Macaca mulatta: one gene and its partners. The main gene of each other region encodes a partner of the protein of the gene in region 4 in a complex. Links are inferred from orthologs where the notes say so. Each region holds a gene or a part of one and is shown on either strand. Other genes may lie near its edges. The genes, in order: BUD13, CWC15, GEMIN4, SNRPF, SF3B2, SNRPG and SART1.

Region 1 (3,500 bases), on a different chromosome or scaffold from region 4:
ATGATGGTAGGATTTTCGGAGAAGTAGAGGGCTGTTACGACCTGGATTTAAATTCCAGTTCTGCCACTTGTTAGCTTGTGATATTGAGAAAGTTACTTAACTTCTCTGAGTCAGTTTGCTATTCAGTAGTGTGGAGCCTTTCTTTGCAGGGTTATTGTGAGAATCGAGTTAGATTATATGAGTAAAACACAAAACACAGTACCTTGCACATAGTTGCTACTCTGTAACTAGGATTTATTATGCCATCATTCTTTGAAAATTTGTCATGTGGAAAAGGGATCAGTTGCATCAGAGGTCAGAACTAGAATCAATTCAAAGAAGTTATAGGAAGGTAGAGATGAGACCAGTAAAACTAAGAACTTTCTAACATTTTTGAAAAATGCAGTGGACTGCGTTGTAAGATAATGAGGTCCTTGTCAGGAAGGGATTGGGTGAGTGGCCATTTATTAGGAATACTATAGAGAAGATTCTGATTCGTTCGGAAGTTTGGAAGATAAGAAATGTGGTTTTAGCTCTTAAAGATTAATGATTCTGTGTACATCTCAGTGGCTGTTTTTGGTTGTATTCAAGAAAATCTATTATTGTGACTACCTACAACAAGAAAGGTTTCATAGAAACCCAAAGTCCTTGATTAGTGCTAGGCATGATGGGGGGCCACCGATGTTTTCACTCTTAATGTAGAAGTAAAAGTGTATAGGAATTTAGTGTTAGCTTACAAGTGGCTGTTGTGTACCTAGCAGGTTAATAAAAAGGTTTGTAATGAAAGAAATTAACCTTTGCGGGGAAATTGAATTATCCAACTAATACAGTGACAATCAGGTGCTTATGGAGCTAGCATAACTGAAGACCCCTACTTATTTCTTCATGACCATGTTGGATATGTGTGCGCCCTTAGGTTAGGAATCGGAATGGTTGTAACTTCAGGTTCTTGAGACAGTGCTTCTTGGCTGGATCCTGTGGATTTCCTCAGCATAGGAAATCTTTACTCCCACAGGTGGCAGAGTTTGTGGATGAGCGGCCGGAAGAGGTAAAGCAGATGGAGGCCTTTCGTTCCAGTGCCAAATGGAAGCTTCTGGGAGGTGAGTTCCAACAGTAGATAAATCTAAATCTCCATTAGTAGGGGAGGTCTTTTTTTCTTTTCTACACTTTTCTTTTAGAGGAATGCATAGTTTTTTTTAGCATGTCATTGATCCTGAAAAATAAAGCAGGAAAAAGGAAGCTGGACTTCTTCAGAAGTAGTAAGACATAGGAACTTAGAGACCAGATATTCCTCTTTCTCTTGTATTTTGGCATTAGGGTTACTGAGGTTGGTGACTAATTTGGAGGCCTGTGAGCACCCATTCCTCTGACTCAGAATAGGAGAGCCCTTGGTATATAGGCAAGACTTTGGGAGGAGTTTACAAGAAACAGGAACAGAATTTGGGGACTTTAGCTACCACTGTCCTCTTCCACAATGAAGCAACTCATTTCTGGGGGGGTCAAGGACCAATGTTTTTTGTTCTGTTTGTGTTAGTAAATTTCTCTCTTCTTTCCTTAAATATTGGTATTTTATAGTGCATTACCCTCCACCTGCCCACTTTAGACTCTTCCTAAGCTAATATTTATAACTTAACTCTCTTGAAAAAAATTTGAGTCCTTGAGACTTGGATAAAAAGTGTTTGTGTGTCACATCTGTTTGAGCATAGACTGGTCTTATTTGCCATGATAGTCCCCTGTCTGGCACAAGGAGCTGCCTTTAATAAATATCTGTAGAATTGCTTAATTGCTAGTAGGCATTTGATTTTTGTAGCCTAACCAGAATTCTTTTCCACAGAGAGTCTTTTGGTCTCCATATCTTGTTTGTCTAGGAAGACATACAGACACACACACACAGTGCTTTTCGGTATCTGAATGTTTAGAAAGTCAGTCACACACACTCACTCACTCACTCACTTACTCCTTTTCTTCTGCCTTGCTTTCACTTCCTCATCCCAATCTGTTACTGGAAATACGTTTACCAATCTCTGACCCTTACTTCCTTCAGATTTACTGTTAGGCCCCCCACAGACATCATACTTTTCTCTGTGGAGTGGATTCCAATCAGATAGGCCTGTTCCCCAAAGTAAAGGAGGTGACTTGGTTTAATTCATTCATTTAGCAAGTGTTCATTGGTTCCTGCCCAGCCTTTATTTTTATTTGGGCTATGGGGCTCAATGACAAGAGATAGAGGTAGAGGAAGAACTGGATTTTGAAACCATTCCAGATGCTATAGATGTTTCATTCTGTGGTGCCTTTGAAAATGGAAGGTCTCAAACTTGTATTTTAACTTTAAAGATTTACGTATTTTAAAGATTGCATATGGACTCTGGAGTCAAATAGAGCTGAATTTAAATATTCCTCCACCACTTATTAGCAATATGACTTTGGCAAGTTAATCTTTCTGAGTATTAACTTCCTCATCTATAAAATGGAAATGACAATATTTATGTCCTAGGCTTATGAGAATTGAATCAGGTAATCTCTATAAAACATTGGCACACAGTAGGTGATTGGTAATTACTTGCTCCTTTCTTTTTTTGTGATTTTTTCTGCTCTCTAACAAAGAGCACAGTGAAATGGATTAAATAGTTAACAGCATTTGATTTTGATACTCACCGTTTTAGTCAATTTACCTTTTGAAAGAGGAGTGAGTACAAACTATAAAGTATCTAGGCAAAATATCAGTAGGAGCCACTAGCTGGGAACTCTGCACAAATGAGGTGTTAGAAAGAACATTGGACTGGGAGTTAGAAGACTTGGATTCTAGCCTGTGTCTTCATCTTAGTAGCTGTGACCTTGGGTAAGAAATCGCTCAGCTCCTCAGCTGAAAACAGAGGCTCTGTTCATAATACAAGGGTACCTGCCCTGCTTACCTTAAAGGGTATAATATGAAAAATGTACTGAAAATGCTTTGCAAATTTATGACTTGGTAGGTGGAGGGGTTATTCTTAAGATATTCAGAGTGGTGATTTGCTGCCGCTAAGCAAGAAAACTGTGCAGGCCTTTTGGGCTTTTTGAGCAGTTCTGAGGTATGTGCTGCTGGAGCATGTCTTGAAACTGGGTGTGGGGGTGGACAGAGGGACAGAGCATTTGTGGGAATCTGACTCTTTGTTTTTTGTGTTTAGGCCACAATGAAGACCTACCCTCACACAGGCATTTTCTTCACGATACCCTAGATTCATCTCCTAGGAGAGTCCGTCATGATACCCCAGATTCATCTCCTAGGAGAGTCCGTCATGATACCCCGGATTCATCTCCTAAGAGGGCCCGTCATGACACCCCAGATCCTTCTCCCCTCAGAGGGGCTCGTCATGACTCAGACACATCTCCTCCCAGGAGGATCCGTCATGACTCCTCAGACACTTCACCTCCAAGGAGGGCCTGTCATGATTCTCCAGATCCTTCTCCTCCCAGGAGGCCTCAGCATAATTCTTCAGGTGCATCTCCTAGGAGAGTCCGTCATGATTCACCAGATCCCTCTC
Region 2 (3,500 bases), on a different chromosome or scaffold from region 4:
GTTTTTCTGAAATACTTGTTATGCCTTTGGCTTTAAGAAGTGACATATATTTGCTTGCTGTTATTCAAATATAACCCTGACCTCAGTGCTAAACTTTATAGTTGATTTTAAAACAAAAAGTATTATTTTGTGGGACTTTTAAGAACAAGTTTGGTCTCTAGAGAACCAAATATGGAAGGAATCTTAAAAGACATGCTTTCCCGCAAAATAATGTCCTGTACTAAACTACTGCACTATGGTGTGTTACACACCTCTACAGGGCACTCTTCACACTGGGTTTCCTATAAACAGTGCCCTCTAGAGTTGTACCTGGAGGCCTTTCCACATTAGATATGCCCCTTTCTATAAGTGGAGTACACTTAATGGTTCCCTCTGTGCTTAGTGAGGGAAGTAATCTAAGCAGAAGGTTTTTAAGGATTAGCACATCAGTTAATGATAAAATTCTGTGGGACCCTAGAGCCTATAATCAGTTTGCAGTTTTCTACATACAGGACAGTGAAAAACCTGAGTGGCATCCAATGAGTAATATCTACCTGTGTATACATATCAGCAGTTAATTCTAGAGTTAAATGATGGAGTTACTCATAATAGTTAAAACAAGAAACCTAATTTCAAGTGAAATTTAATGATTATTCATTTGAAATTATTTTCTTCTGAGAAATTAGCAGTTTTTTGCACTTTTGATTATCTTTACTTGCTAGCTTAAAGTTGTTTTGAGCTACATAAAATTGTTTTGACTTTCTTAGGGTGATATATTGTACATATGTACTGTGTTTTGGTAATGTATATTTTCCCTCCAATCTTCTGGGCTCTCACTGTTCTTTTAGGAAGAAGATGAAGATTTTGAAGAAGAAAGTGATGATGATGATACTGCAGCTCTTCTTGCAGAACTGGAAAAAATTAAAAAGGAAAGAGCTGAAGAGCAGGCCAGGAAGGTAAAACCAAAGTGTTAAATATTTACATCTCTCCTCTCACATATACTAAAGTAGAAATTTTTTTGAATATAAGTAATACCTTCTTATATTAGAAATCTCCCTTACTGTGTCTAAATATTATAGCACTTGTAGATCTATAAATCTTATTATTTTTGTGACATCCTAGGTATTCTGGTTATGTTAAAAATTATTTCCCAATAGTTCAGATACATTGAGTAATATTCACCAGCTTGCTAGTCATTCACTAGTTTATTCATTTGTTCAACATTTAGTCAATATCTGTTAATTGACAGGAGAATCAAAGATGATCAAGATATAGTCATGGTCTACAAAGATTATCTCTCTGTCTCCTGCCTAGGTACTATTAAGGCAATTAGTCAGTAGATATTATATAACCTAGGTCAAGCTACCTAACTTTGCTGAGCCCCCACAGTCTCTCCGTTTACACAATATGAGGAAAAAATATAAAACTTAAAGATAGTTAAAACTCTTAATGAATTACCCAGAGTGATAATAAGAGGTGAAACTGAGGAGGCAAGCACAAGTCAGAGCATTAGAGATTTGCAAAACAATGCTGAAGGAGTCTAGATTTTTTTCTAAAGGACATGAGGAGCTGGTTGATTTAAGCAGGAGATTGATAAAATTGGATATGCATTTTAGAGAGATTACTCTGGCAAAAATACGCAGGATGGATTGGAAAAAAACTGAGTTAGGAGGCTGTTTCAGTAATCTTACCAATTAAGAGACTCTTAACTTGTATGATAGGAGTTGGAATTAAGATAAGTAATTAGATGCTGATAGAACTGATTATCAAGGAGGTCAAAGTGGGAAGGGGAGCAGGAAAAAATAAAAAATAAAAGAGGTAGAGTTGACAAAGTGACTGATTGATTGTGGCAGCAGAGAGGACCCTCACTTTGTAGGTAAATGTTGGTGCTGTACATCAATACAGGGAATGCAAAAGAATTGCCATATTTATACAGAGAGAAGAGGTAGTTGATGAGATCTGTTTTGAACATACTGAATTTGACACATTATAAGACATTCAGGTAGGGATGTTTTCAACCAGAGCAGCACAGCTTTTTTGTAGATTTCTGTGTAAAATTTTATTTGATGCAAGAATTGTTCTGTTTTTAAAAAAGAAAGTAAAAAAATATACTACATGGTCAATACCAGGAATCTAGGGAAGTGAGTTCATGTGAATCAGAAGGGCCAGGGAAGAATTCAGAAAAGAGGTAGAATTTGGGATGGACTTTGATGATTAGAATTCAGATTGGAAGAAGGAAGGCATTTTAAAATACAATTCTCATCAAAGTTTTGTATTATAAGACAGCATAATTCCTATAACAGCTTATAGTTTTTACATGTAGTTTTTAAGTCGAAGAATTATAAAAACATTCCCAATCCCACTTGCATACCACTAGAGGGCAATTGTTCCAAATTCTTTTAGCTTGCCTAATAGTTCTGGACACATAAAGAGATGAGCAATTTAAATGCTTTTGGTTGACCTTGAGGGACGATAAGCATTTTAGACAGAAGGCCTTGCAGTTTTGTGAGTTTCATGTAATAAAACGTGTTGATATTTCTTGGAGTTGAATGATAGTTTAGTTTCTTTTAGCCCTGTTTCCCTTTCTATTGGCTGGTTTTTGCCACGTCCCAAATTTAAGATTTTTCAAACCATTTAACCCTTGTCAGGGGTCAGCACACTTTCTGTAAAGGGCCAGGTAGTAAATATTTTAGGCTGGCTGGTCATGGAGCCTCTGTCGCACCTACTCACCTCCACTGTTGTAGCATAAAAACATCCACAGAGTACATAAACGAATGAGTGTGGCAATGTTCCAATAAAATATCTACAAAAACAGGTAGTTAGGATTTGACCTACATGCCATCTGACAACTAGCTTATATTATGAAACATAGTATGCCTGCTGTTTGAATGTTGAAAGAGTTTATGCCTTTTTTTCCCAGGGCTGTTAGTGACAATCATTCAGTAACTCCAAAGGAAATAATATTCCAAACATAAAATGTCCATGACCTTTGTATGTCATACACATTATATTATAAGTTTGGATATATTGTATACCTAAGCTCCTATTTTTCTAGTATTTCAGAGAAATATCTTTTCCCTTTAAGCATCAGTATAATTTGTTACAAATAAATATATAGCTTTTAGAGAGCTACTTGTACTTAATCTGTGATGGATAGTTCCTGATTTTATTTAAATTCTGACCAGTGATGTAAAGGAATTTTCCTATTTCCTTACAAGTTAGATCTTCTCACCTCCTATTTTCATTTTTATTTTTCTCCATAAAAATGAAATTCATTGTTTACATTTGAATATTGAAATGAATATCAGTAATCTGTATGAAAAATTAGGTTATTAAAATAATAACTTTTTAAAAAATGATTTCCACACCATCTCTTTTTCCTTGATCTATTAAGTCATCGATTTCTGTCATCCCCAAAACACAGCAAAATGGGATTTATATTTAGCTTAAGATAGCATGTTAACAGGTAGATCTAGAAGTGATAGCTAAGGATTTTAGACATTTTATATTCCAAATTCTGA
Region 3 (4,300 bases), on a different chromosome or scaffold from region 4:
AGGCCGTCACTGGAGAATGGTCTCCTGCCCTCAGATCTTGGGCGTTTCCACAGCACACTGTGCCCCTCTCTCCTGCCAAATACCTACATACGCTCTTGTAATAGGAGGGCTGGGAACTCCACCCAAAACCATACAAAAAGCCAGTCTGTGTATTTGGACGCCTCCCCAGCACTCAGTCACCGAGTTCCTCCAGTTCCTCTGTTCCAACAGCAGTCGGTCACTCTCACGCAGTTTAAGTGATTTATTGATGTCTCGGCTAAGCTTGCGACAGTTTCAGGACGTTTCAGCCATCAAGGTCTAAGAATCCCTTTCCATTCCCGAGGAGCCCTCAGCCAGCCTCTTCCTTCTTCACCTCCTCACTCTGGCCGCGTAGCCCCTCATGGCGTCCATCTTGGACACCCCTTTGTTCGCGCTCCATGCCGCCCACTTCCTTCTTCAGCTCCTCACTCTGGCCGCCTAGCTCCTCACGGCGTCCATCTTGGACACCCCTTTGTTCGCGCTCCCTGCCCCCCACTTCCTTCTTCTTCAGCTCCTCCACTTTGGCCGCGTAGCTCCTCATGGCGTCCATCTTGGACACCCCTTTGTTCGCGCTCCAAGCCTCCCACTTGGCCCTGGCCTTCACGTCTGAGGCCGGAGGGGCGGGGATGCCGCAGTCGCCCTGGGTGGCCTGTTTGTAGAGGCCGTAGATCAGCAGCTTCTCCGGATCGCTCACAGGACCCTTCAGCTGCTTGAGGGCCGCGCGCGCCAGCTCGAACTCCACTTGGCACATGAGGGGGTGGAGGCGGTGCCTGGTGCTCGAAGCTGGAGGTGGAGAGTTGGAATGGCGGTTACTACTCGATCTCAGGGGGGAACGCAGGCAGGCACACGATGTTTGTGTTTTCTCAAGCACAGGCTGCAAGCTCGGGGTCCCGCGTACTGGCGCCACCCCACCACGTTTGGGCTCACACGGTGCATTTTCTGGGGAGGAACAGCCGTCAAAAGCGTCTAGGATCCGGGCCGCTGCTGTCTGAAGGGGGCGGCGCCGCGCGGCAGGAGCGCGTTGAGGGACTGTGTGGGGGGCGGACTGGACGCGTGGGAGTGGAAGGCTCGCGCGGTGCGGCCGCGCTGGGTAGTGGGCGGCCCGCGGGAGGCGCTCGGTGGCGGTGAGCTGTGTGCGGGGCACGCCCGGGGTTACCGGGTGAGGGTGAATGCGGGGCCGGGGACTCGTGAGCCGGACCCGCTGAGACCCCGGAAGCGGGCCAGGGCAGGGGACGGTGCGGAGGGTCTGGGGAGCGACGCCTGGTACCTGAGGGTGGGTGGGAGGCCTCTGCCGGAAGGCGGCGCTGTGCGCTTGGCGCGCTCGTTCGTGAGGACTGCGCGTGCGCAGGGGAGACTGTGGGCGGGGCCTGAGCGCCGCCGCCGTGGCGCCTGCGCCGTCCATTGTGCTGTGCGTCCCGCGCCGCGTTCGCGTTCTCGGAGTAGAGGGGGCGTTAGCCCCGCTCGGCCGCCGGCGTCGCCGCCATGGACCTAGGTGGGTGTCGCGTCTCCTCAGCCCCGGGCTGCGTCTCGCGATGCGCCACCGGGACGGTGCCGCCCCGTCGCGTCTCCTCCTGCCGCGCACGCTCGCTTGGGCCCGGGCCAAAGCGTCCACCACGTCGGGGCGGGTCTGGGGGTCCCCGGGTGGCCTTGACGGGGGTGGTCCGGGTCCCGCTGCGCGTTGGGCCGGGTCTTGCCCACTCCGCGGGAAAACACCGAGCAGACGTAAAGTGAGAGCCCCTGGAAACGCCCGGGGCCCGGGGCTCGCGCACGTGCTTTGAGAAACGGGCTTTCTCCGAGCACCCCCGGGTGTCCCGGCGGCCTCATTTTCTGAACGGCAACTGCGTTCTTGAGCAAGCGTCTTAGGCTCCAAGTGTCTTACGCTCATCAGGTTTCCTCATCGACAGAGCTGGGGGAATGACAGTGTGTCTCCCCACTGAGTGTTGGGCGACTTTTCATGGAGATCGCCGAGGCACAGTGTCCCGTGCAGGGCTGCGCGGGTCACACCGCGGTTGGGGCGGCTGTGTTCCTGAGGCGTCACTTTCTGAACCTGCGTGCGTCCTGATTCAGAATCTTGCAAGGTCTGGGAGAGGGGGAACCCTGGAACTAGGAGCTCCCTGCTAAGCCTCGACACAGGCTGCTAAGACCAGGAGGCTGTTCTGGGAGAGCTGGGGGTGAGGCACCCCGAGATGTGTCAGCAGTAGTAGGCTGGGGGGAAATGGTCTGTTCCCCGCCCCCAGAGAGCTCTTCAGGAGCGGTATGGCAGAACTCTTAGGGCTTGGAGCCCCTTAGCCGTAATTGCTTCCCAGCCCCACCACATCCAGGCGGGGGCACCCTCAGCAAATCGTTTCTGCGCCTCAGTGTCTTCTTCTCTAAAACCGGAATAATAGTCCTCAAAAGGTGGTTGTGAATCGAAGAGATCTTACATGTGCACCACCTAGCACCGTGCCTGGCATGGAGTAGGCGCATAATAAACCTTAGAAGCGGGCTCTGGTAAGCACTAATTAACCATCCGTGATGAAGCACCGGAGTGTTTTCCAGCTAGTAACTGACTTACTACTTCAAACTGTGGGTACTTACTGCGCCTGGAAGGCAGGTGTTGAGGGCCAAACATCTGCTCAGCTAATCCAATAATGCAATAAAATAAAATTTACAGCGTCAGGAGGGACCATATTTTGGGACCCTGGGAGAGCCTCCTGAGCCAGAAAGAAGGGCCGTAACCCCCAGAGAGGTCCCCTCTGCAGCCTGACCTTCCCTGGGAGTCAGATTCAGCCACTGTGAGCTGAGATGGATTGCCTCCACAAGTGGGTTACATAGTGCTGAACCCTTGTCCTGCTGCTGCTCTCATAAATGGTGGGAAGGGTAAGATGGTCCTTAGTTTCCTGGAGTCAGCGTTTTCTCTGCTGGTGTCTGGCCTGGGAAAATGGGGAATATGAGCTCTCGTGGGCATGAGAGACTGAGGAAGGAGTAGCATCTCTCAATCCTAGGAGAGGGGAGAGGCCTCAGGAATGAGGAATAGGAAGCAGTATTTGTACCCTCGTTTTAGTTTCTAGGCCAAAGGAAACATGCCTGATAAAGGCCTATATCCTTTGATGTTTCTGAGCTGGGGGAGGCAAAGAATAGTGACAAGATTCTGGTCCTGCCAACTATGAAAAGGTTTGGGGAAACCAACATTTACTGAGTACCTAACTAGACTCTGTAACCCGATTCTTATTGTAGCTGTATTTATCTATCATAGCGTCCCGGAGAGATGGGGTCAGGAGATAGCAATACCAACCCCCTAGAAAGGGCTTGACTGGTATATATCACATGATCCTCAAAGTTATAACATGAAGTCTGTATTATCCCCACATATGCAGAAGGAAGGCTTGGAGAAGCAACTTGACCAAGATTACATCCTTTTTTTTTTTTTTTTTTTTGGAGATGGAGGGGGTTCTCATTATGTTACCCCAGCTAGTCTTGAACTCCTGGCCTCAAGGATCCACCTGCCTCAGCCCCGCCAAGTAGCTGGGATTACAAGTGCTAGCCACTGCACGTGGCCAGAATCACATTGTTTTTAAATGGCTGAGCTAGGATTTAAACCCATGTCTGATTAAACATCCCAAGATGCTTTCCATGGTAAGTCTGTGTCAATCGTTAGTTCCCTGAAGGAAGGCTTAATCTAGCACAGTATTTTCTGTATCTACTCCCTGGTTTCTCCCACAGAGCAGGGCCATGAGTAGCTTGTTTTTGACCAGAAGGAGCTGTGGGGTGGACTGTTTACCTGAAAGGTAGAAGAATGTTTGAGGCCTGTTCCCAAGGCAAGGTTGTAAAGGGTGAAGGCAGGGCTTGTCTGATTCCTTCTGTGCCCATTACTCCATGGCTGTGTGATTGCTCTGTGCCCATTACTCCATGGCTGTGTGATTGCTCTGTGCCCATTACCCTGTGGCTGTGTGATTGCTCTGTGCCCATTACTCTGTGGCTGTGTGATTGCTGTGTGCCCGTTACCCTGTGGCTGTCTGATTGTGTGCCCGTTACCCTGTGGCTGTGTGATTGCTTCTGTGCCCGTTACCCTGTGGCTGTATGACTGCTTCTGTGCCCATTATCCTGTGGCTGTGTGATTGCTGTGTGCCTGTTACCCTGTGGCTGTGTGATTGCTTCTGTGCCCGTTACTCTGTGGCTGTGTGATTGCTTCTGTGCCCGTTACCCTGTGGCTGTGTGATTGCTCTGTGCCCTTTACCCTGTGGCTGTATGACTGCTTCTGTGCCCATTACCCTGTGGCTGTGTGATTGCTTCTGTGCCCATT
Region 4 (4,088 bases):
TTAAAAATGGTTAGAGTGGCAAAATTGTAATGTATATTTTACCACAATAAAAAGAAAATTAATTACAAAAAAAACCCCACCAAAACACATGGCTGAATCATTTACAGAAACTCATTTGACAGACATACAGTCAGTTCAATTTCTTCGGCAGATGTGTCTTTCCCCTGAAGGAATGAATTTCCTCAATAACTTTGGTGTTGTGCCTTTAGCATCATTCATTAAAAGACTCATGAATTTCACTTGAAAACTTTCTTTCAGGGCTAAATGATGAGAAATGTTTTGTTTTCTCCAGCAAAGTAGTGTGTTTCCCTTACAGTATTATTATGAATTAAATGTCTGAGCTCTTCTTACTTTAACTACTAGGAATAAAATCTGTGGCTGAATTCTGGTTTAAGTCCATGTCTTGTACCTAGTATATCATAGTATCCTCCCTGGCTTTGACTTTATTTTTTAATTTTGCCGTACATTTGTCAATTTAATTGTATGTATTCTTATTAGTCAGACTAAACCTTTGAGCAATAAGGTGAAGCAAACTAAATGCAATGTTATGACCTTTACAGCTCTTTAGCTTACCTGCATGTTCATGTAGCCATCTACAGATACCAGATAGCCCTTGTACTCCATTCCCCACTTAAGTTTCACCATCACTGGCTTTCCTGTTAGTCCATTGAGGAAAGGTTTGGGATTGAGGGGTAAACTCTGCACAAAGAACAAAAAAGGATCCAATTAATTATTTTTCCTCCCACCACCAACTCTCTTCTACTAAATACCAATATTTTGTGGTATGCAAATGAAGAAAACTCTTGACTCATTATTTTAGTACACAATTTTCACTTTCATTTATTGGAGAGTACCAGGGAAATTTAAATATCCAGTTAGCCAGTATCACCTTTAACCCATCAAAACAAAATACTCACTATTCACTTAAGATAACACCGACTACATACATCACTTACTGTTCTGAGCTCTAAAGAAACAAAGATAAAGGCACTTAAAAAAAAAAAAAATGCGGGCCAGAAAGGGTGGCTCATATCTGTAATTCCAGCATTCTGGAAGGCCAAGGCAGGGGGATCACTTGAGGCCAGAATTTCAAGACCAGCCCAGGCAACATAGTGAGACCACCTTCTCTACCAAAAATAGTCAGATGTGGTGGTGCACACCTGTAGTCCCGGCTACTAGGGAACAGAGCAAGACCTTGTCATAAATAAATAACAGAGTCCCTGTCAAGAAGTTGGAGATGGGGAGGGGGGCTCCTCACATACAAATAATTATACTGCATATTGCAACATAATAAGAGGAGATATACTAGGCACAAGGGTACCGAAGCAATCCAGGGAAAAAAGGAAAGGTTGCCTGAAATAAGTTAACCTCAGTTTTAAAGAATGAGAATTTATTTCCAGAGCGGGAAAAAATCCTGTTCCAGGCAAGGCTAGCTACTTATGTAAAAGGAGGGAAGAGTGAAGCAACAAGGTGATTTTGGGGACATACAATTCAGCATTGTCAGTCAAAGTCCCAAATATAAGACTACAGAAGGAAGCAGAGGGCAGATGACGCTTGACAGTCTTTAACTGTGGAAGCTAGGGCTAGGTCCTAAATGACTTTGTCACTAGCACTGCCTCTTATAGCAATCACTTAAAGTTTGCTCAGCAAACCATTAACATCTCCAGTGAATTCGGTTTTTGCCTTTTTCTGCTCACTCACCAGTCAAAGAAAGAACAGAACTAAGAAACTTGGCTACTAACCCCCTCTAACATAAACATATTCGGAGTGACTTGATGCGGCGATTACTCCAATAACCTAATGGGTCTCCAGTTTTCATTCTCCAATTTATTATCCACCACAGCAACATGATTTTTTAAAGTGCACATCAAATTGTCATATTTCTGCTTAAAATGATTCAATGGCTTCCAACTCAATCATTTTCAATTGATTTGGAGTACAATCAAAACCTCCCAATACAGCCTAAGAGGTCCTGTCCAACGCCTGCTCCTCCGACACCATCTCGTAACCACTCTTCCTGCAAGTGGCTGTACCTTTTTGTCAATTTCTCCAACTGACCAAGCTTTCTTTCCGGCCGCAGGTCTTATGCGCCTATTCTCTGTGCTCGGTACACTCCTCCTCCTGCTCTTTAAAGGGTCTATTTCATGACACTTAGGCTTCAGGTTAAATTCCACCTCCTAGGGAGGCCATCTCTGACTAAGCCTCTAAATGTCTAACGCGCACCCTCACAGCCTCCTGTCTGCATTCTTCTTAGCACTTATTACTTGCAATTGCATATTTGTTATTTTTTGACTGTCTGTCTTCCCCAACCGAGTTAAACTAGAGCATGGCCGTATCATTACTTTCATGCAATGAAAGTGAATTTTGGAGTGTGGTTAAGTGGGAAGTGCAAATTCTCTTTGAGTTTTACCCCGACCCTGTAGCCACAAATAAGAATATCCCAAGCCCGGATTCAAACAAAGAGGAGAAGGCACGGGCACTCCTAGAAAAAGAAAGGCATCGGGAGGAGCACGCGCCTCAGAAATCCTAAAAGCAGAGTGAAAGAAGCTGGCGACCGGGTGCGCGGCGCCTCACGCGGATGAATGGGAAACGCGCGAAGCAACCACTAGGCCCCGCGAGGTGGTCTCCCTCCTTCTCTTTCTCCCCGCTTCTCCCGCCGTTCTCGTTCTCCTTACCATCGTAACCACGGCCGAATATTGCAGGCTACTCACTGCCGACCAGGCTGCCGCTTGTCCCTCGTGACTACAGCAGGTACCCCAGGTCCCGAGCCGCTGAATTTCAAGAAAAATGGCCGCCAAACAGGAGTGTGACCTTTCACCTCCCACCACGGCCCTTCCTGCCTCTGTGATTGGACGAAAAGAGATGCGCGCTGATTGGAGGAGATGGTTGGACCAGTATCTCCTGGCAACCAGCAGCGGCTTGAGTTTGCGCCTGGCCGGCTGCGCGCGGGTCTTGGGAAACCCGCTCTGAGGAGCAAGGTGAGGCAGCCAAGGACTGGAGGCAGGCCGGTGTTGTAAATGTGCGGTCTGGGAGAGGCTGTGTGACGGATGTGACTTCTCCCCAACTTGGTTAATGGGGATTTTACTTTGTCTTTTTACACCCGTGAGAATGTTCAGGATCCCAGAGTTCCTTCCTCACTCTTCCAACAGGTTCCATGATTTGGGGGCGCCTCTGCCGCAGGCCGTTTCTACCTGAGTATTCTCTCTTCTGCAACACCCATTTCAACCCCTTTTAAAGGAATTCGGGGGTAGCCAGACAAGACTAGGGGCGGTGAAACGCACCGAAGGGAGTCGGATACAGAATTTATTTTAAACGAGGTCAGGTTGTGTCTGGGATACGGTGTCATGTCCCCCCACCCCCCACGACCCCGCCGGCCCCATCTTTCTTTTGCATCGCCAGCAGAGACTGGCACGGCCTTCTTACGTGCATTTGAAATTACCTAAGGGCGTAAGCAATATTTCCGCTGTCACGGATTAAAACTTTCGACGTAACGGTGTTATCTGAATCTCACTGGTTTTTGTCGTAATCCTAGTGAGTTCGGCTCACTCTGATCTGAAATGCTAAATGCAGTTCTTGGAGAACACGCCCTTTGGGAAGTAACGCTTTTTTGCGGCCCTGAAGAGATGGATTTGAGGTTGAGGATGAAATGTTGGTTGTTGAGGCACTGTGGAGCAGTGGGCAAGACTTTGGAGAGGGCCTGCATTCGGAACCTGCGTCTATCAGGCGCAGCCGGTGTTGGGCAGTGTCTTAACCCTCAGGGCCACTGTTTCCACGGCAGGAACGCGGCTTTAAAAACGGAACCATCCTCAGCGTGGTTGCGAGAATTTAACCTAAAACGGGGCTTGGCCTTGTAAAAGCTCAGTGTTTCACATAAGTGTTGAACACTGACAAGACAGTCATTGTCAGTGTAGTTTTTACCAAACAGTTATTAGATTTATTCACCCTAAACTTAAGTGGATTTCTTCCTTAGTTTGTATATTGTTTCATGAACTTTAAGTCTTTGTACAGACTTTGAGTTCCTACTATGTGTCAGGCTCTTTCAACAATTGTGGAAATCTTACCTTACCGTCTGATTCGGGGTGACAGCC
Region 5 (3,500 bases), on a different chromosome or scaffold from region 4:
CTTAGCCAGATGTGGTGTCTCAACACCTGTAATCCCAGCACTTTGGGAGGCTGAGGTGGGAGGATCCCTTGGGGCCAGGAGTTTAAGACTAGCCTGGGCAACATAGTGAAACCGCATCTCTACTTTAAAAAAAAAAAAAAGAAAAGAAATAATTTTTTTTTTTTAGTTTCACTTCAATCTATCAGAAATAATTTTATCTCAAGAATGTCTTCAAATTTATTCTTATTTTAAAGTAATCATTAAAAAAATTGACAGATAAGAGTCATTAAAGTAAAAAAGTAGTATTGTTAAACTTTAGATAGAAACTTCCGCCCCTTAAGATAAATAGATTCTGAACAAGCTAGCCTTCCAAAGTTAGGAAAACTCAGTAAGAAATTGAAGTCATGTTTTCAACGTACGTATTTTGGTTTCAGACAGCAGAGACTCTGCCATGACAGAAGAGGTTATTAGCATACTTTCTGCCTCCTGTCTCCTTATCCTGTTGCCTCCAGATTTTAGTTGTTTATTAATTTTGGTTTCTAATGCTTCATAACATTTAATTTTATTCTGCAGTCATAATTTCCAGAGTTCCCAAGCGTCAGCTCTGTACTTTTGAGTGTGCCTTTTCTCTAGGGCTTCAGAATTTCTTTTGCAGCTAAGGAGTGAACTGATTGTGCTCACTGTCTTGCAGAGCTGTTCCTTTGGGTACCATGCTGGTGGCTGGGGCAAACCTCCGGTGGATGAGACTGGGAAACCGCTCTATGGGGATGTGTTTGGAACCAATGCTGCTGAATTTCAGGTATGGGCTATGTACTGGCGATCTTGGTTTTACTTAACATCATGAAGGTTAGAGATTGTTGGTTTATAGCTTCATTATCAGGGAGTTGCGTGTTCTGACACAGCAGAGCCTGGAAAAGGGCAAACATTTTCCTGAGATGTTAACGCAAGCCCCTCACTGGAATTTGAGCTCTAGGTAGGTAGGGATTATTGTCTGTGTGTTGACTCTTAACACCCCTTCAGCTTAAAACAGCCTGGTACATAACAGGTACTTAGAAAACATTTGTTGACTGATTAAGTGATTTCTTTCAGACCAAGACTGAGGAGGAAGAGATTGATCGGACCCCTTGGGGGGAACTGGAACCATCTGATGAAGAATCCTCAGAAGAAGAGGAAGAGGAAGAAAGTGATGAAGACAAACCAGATGAGACAGGCTTTATTACCCCTGCAGACAGGTGGGGGAAGCAGAGAGTGCCTCTTGGAAATGGCTTATCTTTGGGGGCCTTCTCTTTACTCCAGAGCTTGTTCCTCTCTTCACAGTGGCCTCATCACTCCTGGAGGCTTCTCATCAGTGCCTGCTGGAATGGAGACCCCTGAACTCATTGAGCTGAGGAAGAAGAAGATCGAGGAGGCGATGGATGGGTGAGGGTGCCAGACAGGGCTTCACTTCCCGTTGGCTGACTGGCTGACTGTTGTTCCTTTCTCCCCCATCCCTTTTTAAAAAATTATTGAACCAACTCTGCCAGGCGATACTCCAGGCAGGGAGGAGTCAGCAGTTGAGGTAAACTGGTAATCAGAGAACAAGATACTTTCAGATGTAGATAAGGATGCTCAAGCAGAGGAAACTGGGTAATGGGATGGGGTGGCAGGGAGGCCTTTGGGAAGGCCTCATTGGGGAGGTGGTGCTTGAACTGAGACCCGAATGGAAAAGCGCCAGCCACAGGATCATCTGGATCAGAAGTAACAGTAAGTGCAAGCAAGTGCAAAGGCCCTGAGACAGGGATGCGCTAGTATTTTGAAGCTCCATTTTTAGGTACTTGAATGTGTGGTGTTGTTAGGTCTTCATGAATTGACCCCTTTATCATGAAATGACCCTCTCTTTATCCATTCTGCTCTTTGTTCCCTTTTTCCTGTTTTTATACCTTCTTTTGGATTACTTGAACAATTTCTATGATTCCATTTTATCTCCAGTGTTGGTTAATTAGCTGTTAAGTTTTTGCTTTGTTATTTTAGTGGGTGCTCTGGGGTTTATCGTAGATCATGTCTATATCAGGATCTAGCTTCTCTTGATGTCACACTGCTTCCAGATGGCATTAAGAGCCGCGATAGTGTACTTCGCTCTCCGCCCAACTTTGCACTGTGTTATCATGTATTTACATGTTATAAATCCTGTACTGTATAGTTATTTTTGTTTAAATGGTCAGTTATCTTTTAGGGAGGTTTAAATAAGAATCATGCATGAAGCCATGTAGTTACCATTTTTGTTTCTTTCATTTCTTTGTGTAGATACAGGTTTCTATCTGATATCATTTTTCCTCTGCCTGAAGGGCTTCCTTTAATGTTTCTTTAGGGGTCATGGTGGCTTACGCCTGTCATCTCAGCACTTTGGGAGAAGGCTGAGGTGGTAGATTGCTAGAGTCCAGGAATTTTGAGACCAGCCTGGGCAACATAGTGAGACCCCATTTCTACAAAACAAACATTTCTTATATTGTGGGTCTGCTGGTTTTGAATTCGTTCAGCTTGGGTAGTCTTAAAAATTCTTTATTTGGCCTTCATTTTTGAAAGATCTTTGCCAGGTATAGGATTCTAGGTTGACAATTTTTTTTCTTTCAATACTTTTTTTTTTTCTTTTTTGAAATGGAGTCTTGCTATGTCACCCAGGCTGGAGTGCAGTGGTGTGATCTTGGCTCACTGCAACCTCCACCTCCTGGGTTCAAGCGATTCTGCTTCAGCCTCCTGAGTAGCTGGGATTACGTGTGCATGCCACCACATCCAGCTAATTTTTATATTTTTGTAGGGATGGGGTTTTGCCATGTTGCCCAGGCTGGTCTCGAGCTCCTGGCTTCAAGTGATCCACCTGCCTTGGCCTCCCAGAGTGTTGGGATTATAGGCGTTAGCCACCACATCAACCTTCTTTCAGTACTTTTAAGATGTTGCTCCAGTGTCTGTCTTCTTTCTTGCATTGTTTCTGGTGAGAAAGCTGCTGTCATTCTTACGTTTGTCCCTGTGTACATAATGTGTCATTTTTATTTGGCTGTTTTTAAGATTTTATCGCTAGTTCTAACAATTTGACTGCAATGTGCCTAGGTGTAGTTTCCAAGTGTTCCTTTGCTTGGGGTTTTTAAAGCATCTTAGATCTGGGTTTTTAGTTTTTATTAATTTGGGGGAAATTTTGGTCATGATTTCTCCAAATATTTTCTCTGTTCCCTTCTCTTTCCTCTCACCTTATTCCTCTGTTAAGTTGTCCCACTGCTCACTGATGCTTTTCATTTTTTTTTTTTTTTTTTTTTTGAGACGGAGTCTTGCTCTGTTGCCCAGGCTGGAGTGCAGTGGCCGGATCTCGGCTCACTGCAAGCTCTGCCTCCCGGGTTCACGCCATTCTCCTGCCTCAGCCTCCCGAGTAGCTGGGACTACAGGCGCCCGCCACCTCGCCCAGCTAGTTTTTTGTAATTTTTAGTAGAGACGGGGTTTCACCGTGTTAGCCAGGATGGTCTCTTATCTCCTGACCTCGTGATCCGCCCGTC
Region 6 (4,059 bases), on a different chromosome or scaffold from region 4:
TCAGCACTCTGGGAGCTGGAGGCAGGCGGATCTCTTAAGGCCAGGAATTCGAGAACAGCCTGGGCAACAAAGCAAGACGTCGTCTCTACAAAAAAAAAAAAAAAAAAAAAAAAAAAAAAAAAAAATTAGCTGGGTGCAGTGGCTTGCGCCTGTAGTCTAAACAACTCAGGAGGCTGAGGTGGGAGGATTGATTGAGGCCAGGGGTTCGAGGTTGCAGTGAGCCATGATCACATCATGCATCCCAGCCTGGGTGACAGAGCAAGACCTCATCTCAAAACAAAAAAAAATTTTTTTTTGCAAGACCCATCAGTCGGAAATAGATTGAAATTCTTGGAGACAGGCCCAGTCACCTTACTCTCCAAATGGTGCAGAGGCTGCTAATTTGCATGTTACCGGAACCCTACTTGGTCTGAAAGTATGCTGTAGGATACCTGCCAAAGAAATATAGAGGCCCGGCTGGGCGCGGGTGGCTCACGCCTGTAATCCTGGCACTTTGGGAGGCCGAGGCGGGCGGATCATGAGGTCAGGAGATCCAGACCATCCCAGCTAACACAGTGAAACCCCATTTTTACTAAAAATACAAAAAATTAGCCGGGCGTGGCGGCGTGTGCCTGTAGTCCCATCTACTCAGGAGGCTGAGGCAGGAGAATGGCGTGAACTCAGGAGGCGGAGCTTGCAGTGAGCCGAGACCGAGCCACTGCACTCCAGCCTGGGGGACAGAGCGAGACTGTCTCAGAAAAAAAAAAGAAATATAGAGGCCCATTCCTCCAGGGATCATTATTTGGTATTTTGGTTTAGATGAAGAAAACAAGCGATACGATCCACAGACATGCGGGATTTGCCGGGTTTGCCCAGAAGTTAGAGAGGGGACTGTTATCTCAGTATTTCAATTTTATTTTTTAAATAGAGGAGGGGGTCTCCCTATGTTGCCCAAGCTGGTCTCGAACTCCTGGGCTCAAGAGATCCAAAGTTCTGGGATTTACGGCGCCAGGCTTTTTTTTTTTTTTTTTTTTTTTTTTTTTTTTTTTTGGCTGTTCCATAGACAAGAACACGGATACTCCATCGTCAGAATACCCGTTATCTCAATTTTGCCCAAGGAAAACCGAATTTAGAAAGGTGCCTAGAGGGCCCACCCCTCTGTCCTGGCCAATAGCTGACGACGCAACCGGAAGCTCAGCAATGACCGAGGCGCTCAGATATCGCGATGTGAAGTGTTAAAAACTGCCAACAATCGATTGGCTAACTAGGTCGATGACGCCAAACGCAAGACGCCGGGCCTACCGCGGGAGCCTGAGGGAAGCCGTGCATTCAGTTCCAAGGCGTCTGTGAGTCCGCGGAGTATACGCCATGAGCAAAGCTCACCCTCCCGAGTTGAAAAAGTAAGTATGTGTGAGAGCCAAACCGAAGTGGTCGCTTCTTTGCGTCCCCCGAGTCCCTTGGTGTTTCAAGCCGAATGGCTTGAGCCGCTTCACCTTATTTCTTCTTCCGGTCCGAGGTCGCCGGCATCCCGGCCAGGCTCCGGCTCATGAGACGTGAAGCCCGCGCAGAGCTCGCGCATTGGCGTGGTTACCGCCGGCAGCCACCGCACCTCCTTCTGGCCGACTAGTCTCTCTGTCCCGCGCTCCGGCCCCTAGTCACCCGGCGCTGTCCCTCGTTCCTTGAAGATCTCCAATGCCAGCTTTTGTTGAACATCTCTAATAGCATCATATTCTAGATAGACGGCTAGAGGGGGAAATTCTCTAAAGGAACTAAGGAGGGGATGGAAGGGAAGTGTTTTTAAAACTACGTGAGGCATCGGAATCCAAAAGCCACTTTAGCCTTAGAGAATGTGTTTGTAGGTGTTTCTTTGAGCTTTTACTTAGAAACCTCATTCTTTTTTGTTGCCTATTTTTACATTAAGCTTGAATGTCATGTGTTATCTTGCTCTGATATTGAAACTATGTAAGAACATTCATTTCTAAAATTAATGTTCTAAAAAATAAAATTTTTTTTAGAACATTAATTTTTTTCTAATCAGAGAAGGCTAATTTTTTTAAGTTTCTTTTACACACCCAGTAAAGACAAACAACTTTAAGGAGGAGAGCCTTAATTTATGTAGGACTCAACGTAAAACTTTAAACTCCTCAAATACTTTTTGACTGGACTTAACAGGTTATGTGTTTCCTCAGTACGTCTCTGTTTTGCTTGTACTCCCTGATGCTGGAATTCTACATGTATTTATTGGATTGCACAGAGGATGCAAAATTTTTACAGGAATCAATTTTTTCTGGTGTAGCATGTGGTTGGCTTTGTGTATAGTTCATTTATTACCAGGCCCCTGGAAGTCAGACATAAGGAAAAGTTCCTATTTAATAATTTTGCGGCCAGTGGCGGTGACTCACGCCTGTAATCCCAGCACTTTGGGAGGCCAAGGTGGGTGGATCACCTGAGGTCAGGAGTTCGAGACCAGCCTGGCCAACATGGTGAAACCCCCCGTCTCTACTAAAAATACAAAAAATTAGCCAGGAATGGTGGCACGCGCCTGTAGTCTCAGCTACTCGGGAGGCTGAGGCAGGAGAATCGCTTGAACCCGGGAAGTGGAGGCTGCAGTGAGTCAAGATCTAGCAATTGCCCTCCAGCCTGGGCAACAAGAGCGAAACTCTGTTTCAAATAATAATAATATTGCATTTAAAGGTATATTTGTATCAAAGCCATCTTTTGTATGAAAACTACTTTCATGTATATTTTAGTTAGGTCTGTTAAGGAATTAATTATTAAAACATAGCCCAACGTTAGAAAAATAGAAGTTAGAAATTATTGTGAAAATTACTCTTTTTATCTGAAAGTTATTTTATTGGTGAGTTGGTGATGTAAGTATCCTCTGGATTCATCAGGGACTGGTGAAATGGTGATTTTTCTTTTTTTAAACAAAAGCACCATTCTCTACTTGTAATCTAAGATTTTATTTGTGATTCATAACATAGTTTTTGAAAATTTCAGAGAAGGAAGCTAGTTTTAATACCTTTCTCTTCTCATCCATAGGTTTCATGAATTGTGAAATCCCGTGAGATCTGCCGTCAAAATGACTTTCAAATTTTTTCTTTCTTTGCTTTCTCACTGATAGCATCTTCTTTTACACCATTATGCCCTCCTTCTGGCTTAGCGTAACTCAGGGGTTCTTAAATGGGGGGTAAGGAATCTGGTGACACCAGGGATGCTGCTAAACATCCTACCGTTATTCGGCTGCCCCCAACAATACAAAATTACCTGGTCCCAAGTGTCATTAGTGCAGAAGTTGAGATACACTGGCTTAACCGAATTCTTCCTTCCACTTCTTAAAATTTGCTGCCACAGTGGTCTTGCCAGTGACAGCTTTAATAATTTATCACAGTATGCAAAACTGAATCTATACTTAAGCCAGCATTCAAACGCCAAACCTTACAGCTGCTAATACTCACGTGTTCTCTTCTCCAGTCAGACTGAACTATTTGTGTTTGCTCTCACTTGCTGTGTGACTTCGAAAAATTGATTTACCTTTTCCAAGCCTAGTTCTCCATCTGTAAAAACGGTAGAAATGACAGACCATAATTGCATGCAAAGTCATTGTAAAGATTGTATAAGATCTTGTGTTATATTTGATATGTTTTATGTATCTTATTAAAATAGTTTTGTTCATCATACTTCATAAATGTGTGTATATATTATATATAATATGTAATATATATTACATATATAATTTTACATATAATATTACATATATATTACTTTTTTTTATATATATACATATATATATATATATATTTTTTTTTTTTTTTTTTTTTTTTTTTTGAGATGGAGTTTCACTCTTAATTCCCAGGCTGGAGTGCAATGGTGCAATCTCGGCTTACCGCAACCCGTGCCTCCCGGGTTCAAGCAATTCTCCTGCCTCAGCCTCCCGAGTAGCTGGGACTACAGGCATGCACCACCACACCCGGCTAATTTTTTTTTTTTTTTTTTTTTTTTTTTTTTTTTTTTTTTTTAGTAGAGACGGGGTTTCTCCATGTTCATGTTCATCAGGCTGGTCTTGAACTCCCGACCTCA
Region 7 (3,500 bases), on a different chromosome or scaffold from region 4:
AGGTGAAGGATTGTTCCTTCCTGTCCTGACCCCTTCTGGCCCCCTGAGCTGGAAGGGGGCAGGGTGAGTGGCTCCCTCCTCTCCCCACCAGCCATGGGCGGGCATAGCCTCACGTCTGGGCCCCCCTTCCAGAGGCGGGCACCAAGGAGGAGCCCGTGACAGCCGATGTCATCAATCCTATGGCCTTGCGACAGCGAGAGGAGCTGCGGGAGAAGCTGGCGGCTGCCAAGGAGAAGCGCCTGCTGAACCAAAAGCTGGGGTGAGGGGTCCTGGCCAGGGCAGGCAAGGGAAGGGCTGGGGAGGCCACCATCCTTGGCTGCCTTTTGAGTGGGGTTGGGAGCAGGAGCTGGGCTCCTGGAGCATCACTTTCTCCCCTCTTCAGGAAGATAAAGACCCTAGGAGAGGATGATCCCTGGCTGGACGACACTGCAGCCTGGATCGAGAGGAGCCGGCAGCTGCAGAAGGAGAAAGACCTGGCAGAGAAGAGGGTGAGCACCTGGGCAGCATGGGGTGGTTGCCCAGTGCTTTTGCTGGCCTGACTGGGCATTGAGGCAGGGGGTGGACCCCAGAGAGTTGAGACGGGGTTCGGAGAGGGGATGGGCTGTGGTTGGTAGCATCCGCTTTGGATTCTCAGCAACTTTCCTGCAAGGCCTGCTCTTTTTGCACTCCGCTTGGTAGAGCCCTGAGTGTTTTCTGGTGGTGCTGAGTGGCCTGAGGTCCTAGGTCACCCCTCCCTGTCCCATAGGCAAAGTTACTGGAGGAGATGGACCAAGAGTTTGGTGTCAGCACTCTGGTAGAGGAGGAGTTCGGGCAGAGACGGCAGGTGAGGCTGCAGCAGCCGGGGTGGGTGGTGCAGGGCACACTGGCGGCCTTGATGCTGGAATCCCAAGGTTGGGCGCATGGAGGGAGGTTCTTTACTCGCCTGATTCTTCTGTTAGGACCTGTACAGTGCCCGGGACCTGCAGGGCCTCACCGTGGAGCATGCCATTGATTCCTTCCGAGAAGGGGAGACCATGATCCTCACCCTTAAGGACAAAGGTGACGCGAGCTGGGTGCCTTGGGTCGGGGCACAGCCTCTGCTGAGTTGTGGACAAGTGTGAATGGCCACTGCTCTGTGCTGCCCGCAGGCGTGCTGCAGGAGGAGGAGGACGTGCTGGTGAACGTGAACCTGGTGGATAAGGAGCGGGCAGAGAAGAATGTGGAGCTGCGGAAGAAGAAGCCCGACTACCTGCCTTATGCCGAGGACGAGAGTGTGGACGACCTGGCGCAGGCACGGCCCAAGCAGGCTGGGCGGCGGGGGCTGGGGTGGAGAATGTCGGGAATAGGGGCTCTGAGGAGGTGGTGGCTCAGTGGCTTTTCAGGAGCCACCCTGGGTCCCAACCTGTACCTCTTACCTTGTAGCAAAAACCTCGCTCTATCCTGTCCAAGTACGACGAAGAGCTTGAGGGGGAGCAGCCGCATTCCTTCCGCTTGGAGCAGGGGGGCATGGCCGATGGCCTGCGGGAACGGGAGTTGGAGGAGATCCGGGCCAAGCTGCGGCTGCAGGCTCAGTCCCTGAGCACGGTGGGGCCCCGGCTGGCCTCCGAGTACCTCACACCCGAGGAGATGGTGAGCCCTCTTGCGCCTTGTACTTGGGGTCATGATTCTCCCTCCCCTTGGGGCTCCTGCGCTGCCCGCAGGCACTGGGAAGAGAGGGCAAGTATTTCTGTTCACAAAGCGCTTGGCCTCGTGGGCAAGCAGTAAATGGCAACCTGGGGAGGCACCAGGTGTTGACGGGTCAGGGCTGCTGAGCCAGATGGGCCCCAGTTGGTGTTTCTGCTCTGCCATACTGCCAGCTTGTGCCTTGGGTAAGCCATTTAACTGTGAGCCTGGGGTGCCCCATCTGGAGTGGCAGTGATAGGAGCCACCTCCTGAGGTTGCTGTGAGGATGAGTGACAGTGTGGCTGAGGGGTGACTGGAAAGGTGTGCGTGGATTCTGTCCGCAGAGTGACTGTGTGAACGTGAGGTAGTCAGCTGGTGTAGTAGGCGTCTTGCTCAGTGGGTAAGAGCAGGACTCTGGAGCCAGACTGCCCGGCTTTCCCACCTAGGAGCTGGGCGACCTTGGGGAAGGTACTTAACCTCTCTGTGCCCCAGTTTCCCTAATCACCAGTGGAAGGGAGATAGTAACCACCCCACGTGTTGCTCATGTGTGAGAAGTGCTCAGGACACTGGCTAGCACAGAAGAACACCAAAGAAGTGTTCATCCTCGCGGGCTTGTGGTGGCCTGCCTTTCCCCGCCCCGCCCCACGCCTCCCTCTTCCCCTCAGGTGGCCTTTAGAAGGACCAAGCGGAGGGTGAGGAAAATCCGCAAGAAGGAGAAGGAGGTCGTAGTGCGGGCGGATGACCTGTTGCCTCTCGGGGACCAGACTCAGGATGGGGACTTTGGTTCCAGGTGGGCTTGGACACCATGGTGGGGTGAGAGGGCTGGGCTGGGGTGTCCCGGGGGCCGGTGCTCACCAGAGAGGCCTCCTTCCCTCAGACTGCGGGGACGGGGTCGCCGCCGAGTGTCTGAGGTGGAGGAGGAGAAGGAGCCCGTGCCTCAGCCCCTGCCGTCGGATGACACCCGAGTGGAGAACATGGACATCAGTGATGAGGGTGAGGGCCTGGCCAGGGGGTGGGAGGGGGCAGGGACAGGAGCCCTGGGTTGGAGGAGATTGTCTGAGCAGGCATCCCCTGTGTATCCCCCAGAGGAAGGTGGAGCTCCACAGCCGGGGTCCCCGCAGGTGCTGGAGGAGGACGAGGCAGAGCTGGAGCTGCAGAAGCAGCTGGAGAAGGGACGCCGGCTGCGACAGTTACAGCAGCTGCAGCAGCTGCGAGACAGTGGCGAGAAGGTGAGGCTGGGCATGGGCAGGCCTGGGGCTACCAGTGCGTCAGCAGTCACCTGTCCTCACGAGCACATGTGTCATAGGCAACAGCCACATTCCTGTCTGAAGCCTCTTTTCCATTTGTTTTTTGTTTTCTGGGTTTTGTTTTTTTTTGAGACAAGTGTTTTGCTCTGTCGCCCAGGCTGGAGTGCAATGGCGTGGCCTCGGCTCACTGCAGCCTCCGCCTCCCTGGTTCAAGTGATTCTCATTCCTTAGCCTCCTGAGTGGCTGGGATTACAGGCACCTGCCACCACACCCGGCTAATTTTTGTATTTTTAGTAGAGACGGGGTTTCACCGTGTTGGCCAGGCTGGTCTCCAACTCCTGACCTCATGATCTGCCTGCCTCGGCCTCCAAAAATGCTAAGATTACAGGTGTGAGCCACTGCGACCAGCCCTGGTTAAAGTCATGTTTTCTGTTTAAAAGTCATGTTTTGCAAAAGTTTTTAGATGCCTGCTTTAGTAGGGGATCCTTTCCTGGCCTGTCTCTTCCTGTGCATGTTTGTTGAGTGCCTGCTGTGGGTAGTGCATTGTTCTTGGGCCGAGAAGGTCATTGGTGAACAGGACAGCCACGGGGCCCTGGACTCAGGGAAGTGGCT

Evidence for each region.
Region 1: SNRPF (region 4) and BUD13 share a complex: the UniProt entries of both Homo sapiens proteins name them as parts of the minor spliceosome. The link is inferred for Macaca mulatta from reciprocal best matches to the Homo sapiens genes SNRPF and BUD13.
Region 2: SNRPF (region 4) and CWC15 share a complex: the UniProt entries of both Homo sapiens proteins name them as parts of the minor spliceosome. The link is inferred for Macaca mulatta from reciprocal best matches to the Homo sapiens genes SNRPF and CWC15.
Region 3: SNRPF (region 4) and GEMIN4 share a complex: the UniProt entries of both Homo sapiens proteins name them as parts of the SMN-Sm complex. The link is inferred for Macaca mulatta from reciprocal best matches to the Homo sapiens genes SNRPF and GEMIN4.
Region 5: SNRPF (region 4) and SF3B2 share a complex: the UniProt entries of both Homo sapiens proteins name them as parts of the minor spliceosome. The link is inferred for Macaca mulatta from reciprocal best matches to the Homo sapiens genes SNRPF and SF3B2.
Region 6: SNRPF (region 4) and SNRPG share a complex: the UniProt entries of both Homo sapiens proteins name them as parts of the U7 snRNP complex. The link is inferred for Macaca mulatta from reciprocal best matches to the Homo sapiens genes SNRPF and SNRPG.
Region 7: SNRPF (region 4) and SART1 share a complex: the UniProt entries of both Homo sapiens proteins name them as parts of the U4/U6-U5 tri-snRNP complex. The link is inferred for Macaca mulatta from reciprocal best matches to the Homo sapiens genes SNRPF and SART1.

The regions. Positions count from the first base shown.
Region 1 is NC_133419.1:117,438,531-117,442,030, reverse strand, and holds part of BUD13 (BUD13 homolog), read left to right. Parts: intron 1-994; coding exon 995-1,079; intron 1,080-3,143; coding exon 3,144-3,500. UniProt on the Homo sapiens protein: Involved in pre-mRNA splicing as component of the activated spliceosome. As a component of the minor spliceosome, involved in the splicing of U12-type introns in pre-mRNAs.
Region 2 is NC_133419.1:95,759,036-95,762,535, reverse strand, and holds part of CWC15 (spliceosome-associated protein CWC15 homolog), read left to right. Parts: intron 1-827; coding exon 828-935; intron 936-3,500. UniProt on the Homo sapiens protein: Involved in pre-mRNA splicing as component of the spliceosome. Component of the PRP19-CDC5L complex that forms an integral part of the spliceosome and is required for activating pre-mRNA splicing.
Region 3 is NC_133421.1:2,295,180-2,299,479, reverse strand, and holds the start of GEMIN4 (gem-associated protein 4), read left to right. Parts: upstream 1-1,500; coding exon 1,501-1,510; coding exon of another isoform or gene 1,511-1,903; exon of another isoform or gene 1,904-3,358; intron 3,359-3,372; exon of another isoform or gene 3,373-3,633; intron 3,634-4,300. Other genes in the region: uncharacterized protein LOC721152, read right to left, coding at 329-1,903. UniProt on the Homo sapiens protein: The SMN complex catalyzes the assembly of small nuclear ribonucleoproteins (snRNPs), the building blocks of the spliceosome, and thereby plays an important role in the splicing of cellular pre-mRNAs.
Region 4 is NC_133416.1:103,187,271-103,191,358, reverse strand, and holds the start of SNRPF (small nuclear ribonucleoprotein F), read right to left. Parts: upstream 2,801-4,088; 5' UTR 2,679-2,800; coding exon 2,676-2,678; intron 700-2,675; coding exon 574-699; intron 1-573. UniProt on the Homo sapiens protein: Plays a role in pre-mRNA splicing as a core component of the spliceosomal U1, U2, U4 and U5 small nuclear ribonucleoproteins (snRNPs), the building blocks of the spliceosome.
Region 5 is NC_133419.1:8,350,164-8,353,663, reverse strand, and holds part of SF3B2 (splicing factor 3B subunit 2), read left to right. Parts: intron 1-670; coding exon 671-778; intron 779-1,068; coding exon 1,069-1,211; intron 1,212-1,296; coding exon 1,297-1,398; intron 1,399-3,500. UniProt on the Homo sapiens protein: Component of the 17S U2 SnRNP complex of the spliceosome, a large ribonucleoprotein complex that removes introns from transcribed pre-mRNAs.
Region 6 is NC_133418.1:54,435,964-54,440,022, forward strand, and holds the start of SNRPG (small nuclear ribonucleoprotein G), read left to right. Parts: upstream 1-1,259; 5' UTR 1,260-1,347; coding exon 1,348-1,379; intron 1,380-1,495; exon of another isoform or gene 1,496-1,826; coding exon of another isoform or gene 1,827-1,834; intron 1,835-3,021; exon of another isoform or gene 3,022-3,122; coding exon of another isoform or gene 3,123-3,169; intron 3,170-4,059. UniProt on the Homo sapiens protein: Plays a role in pre-mRNA splicing as a core component of the spliceosomal U1, U2, U4 and U5 small nuclear ribonucleoproteins (snRNPs), the building blocks of the spliceosome.
Region 7 is NC_133419.1:8,451,985-8,455,484, reverse strand, and holds part of SART1 (U4/U6.U5 tri-snRNP-associated protein 1), read left to right. Parts: intron 1-132; coding exon 133-259; intron 260-382; coding exon 383-488; intron 489-745; coding exon 746-823; intron 824-938; coding exon 939-1,038; intron 1,039-1,127; coding exon 1,128-1,270; intron 1,271-1,401; coding exon 1,402-1,608; intron 1,609-2,306; coding exon 2,307-2,431; intron 2,432-2,518; coding exon 2,519-2,634; intron 2,635-2,727; coding exon 2,728-2,870; intron 2,871-3,500. UniProt on the Homo sapiens protein: Plays a role in mRNA splicing as a component of the U4/U6-U5 tri-snRNP, one of the building blocks of the spliceosome. May also bind to DNA.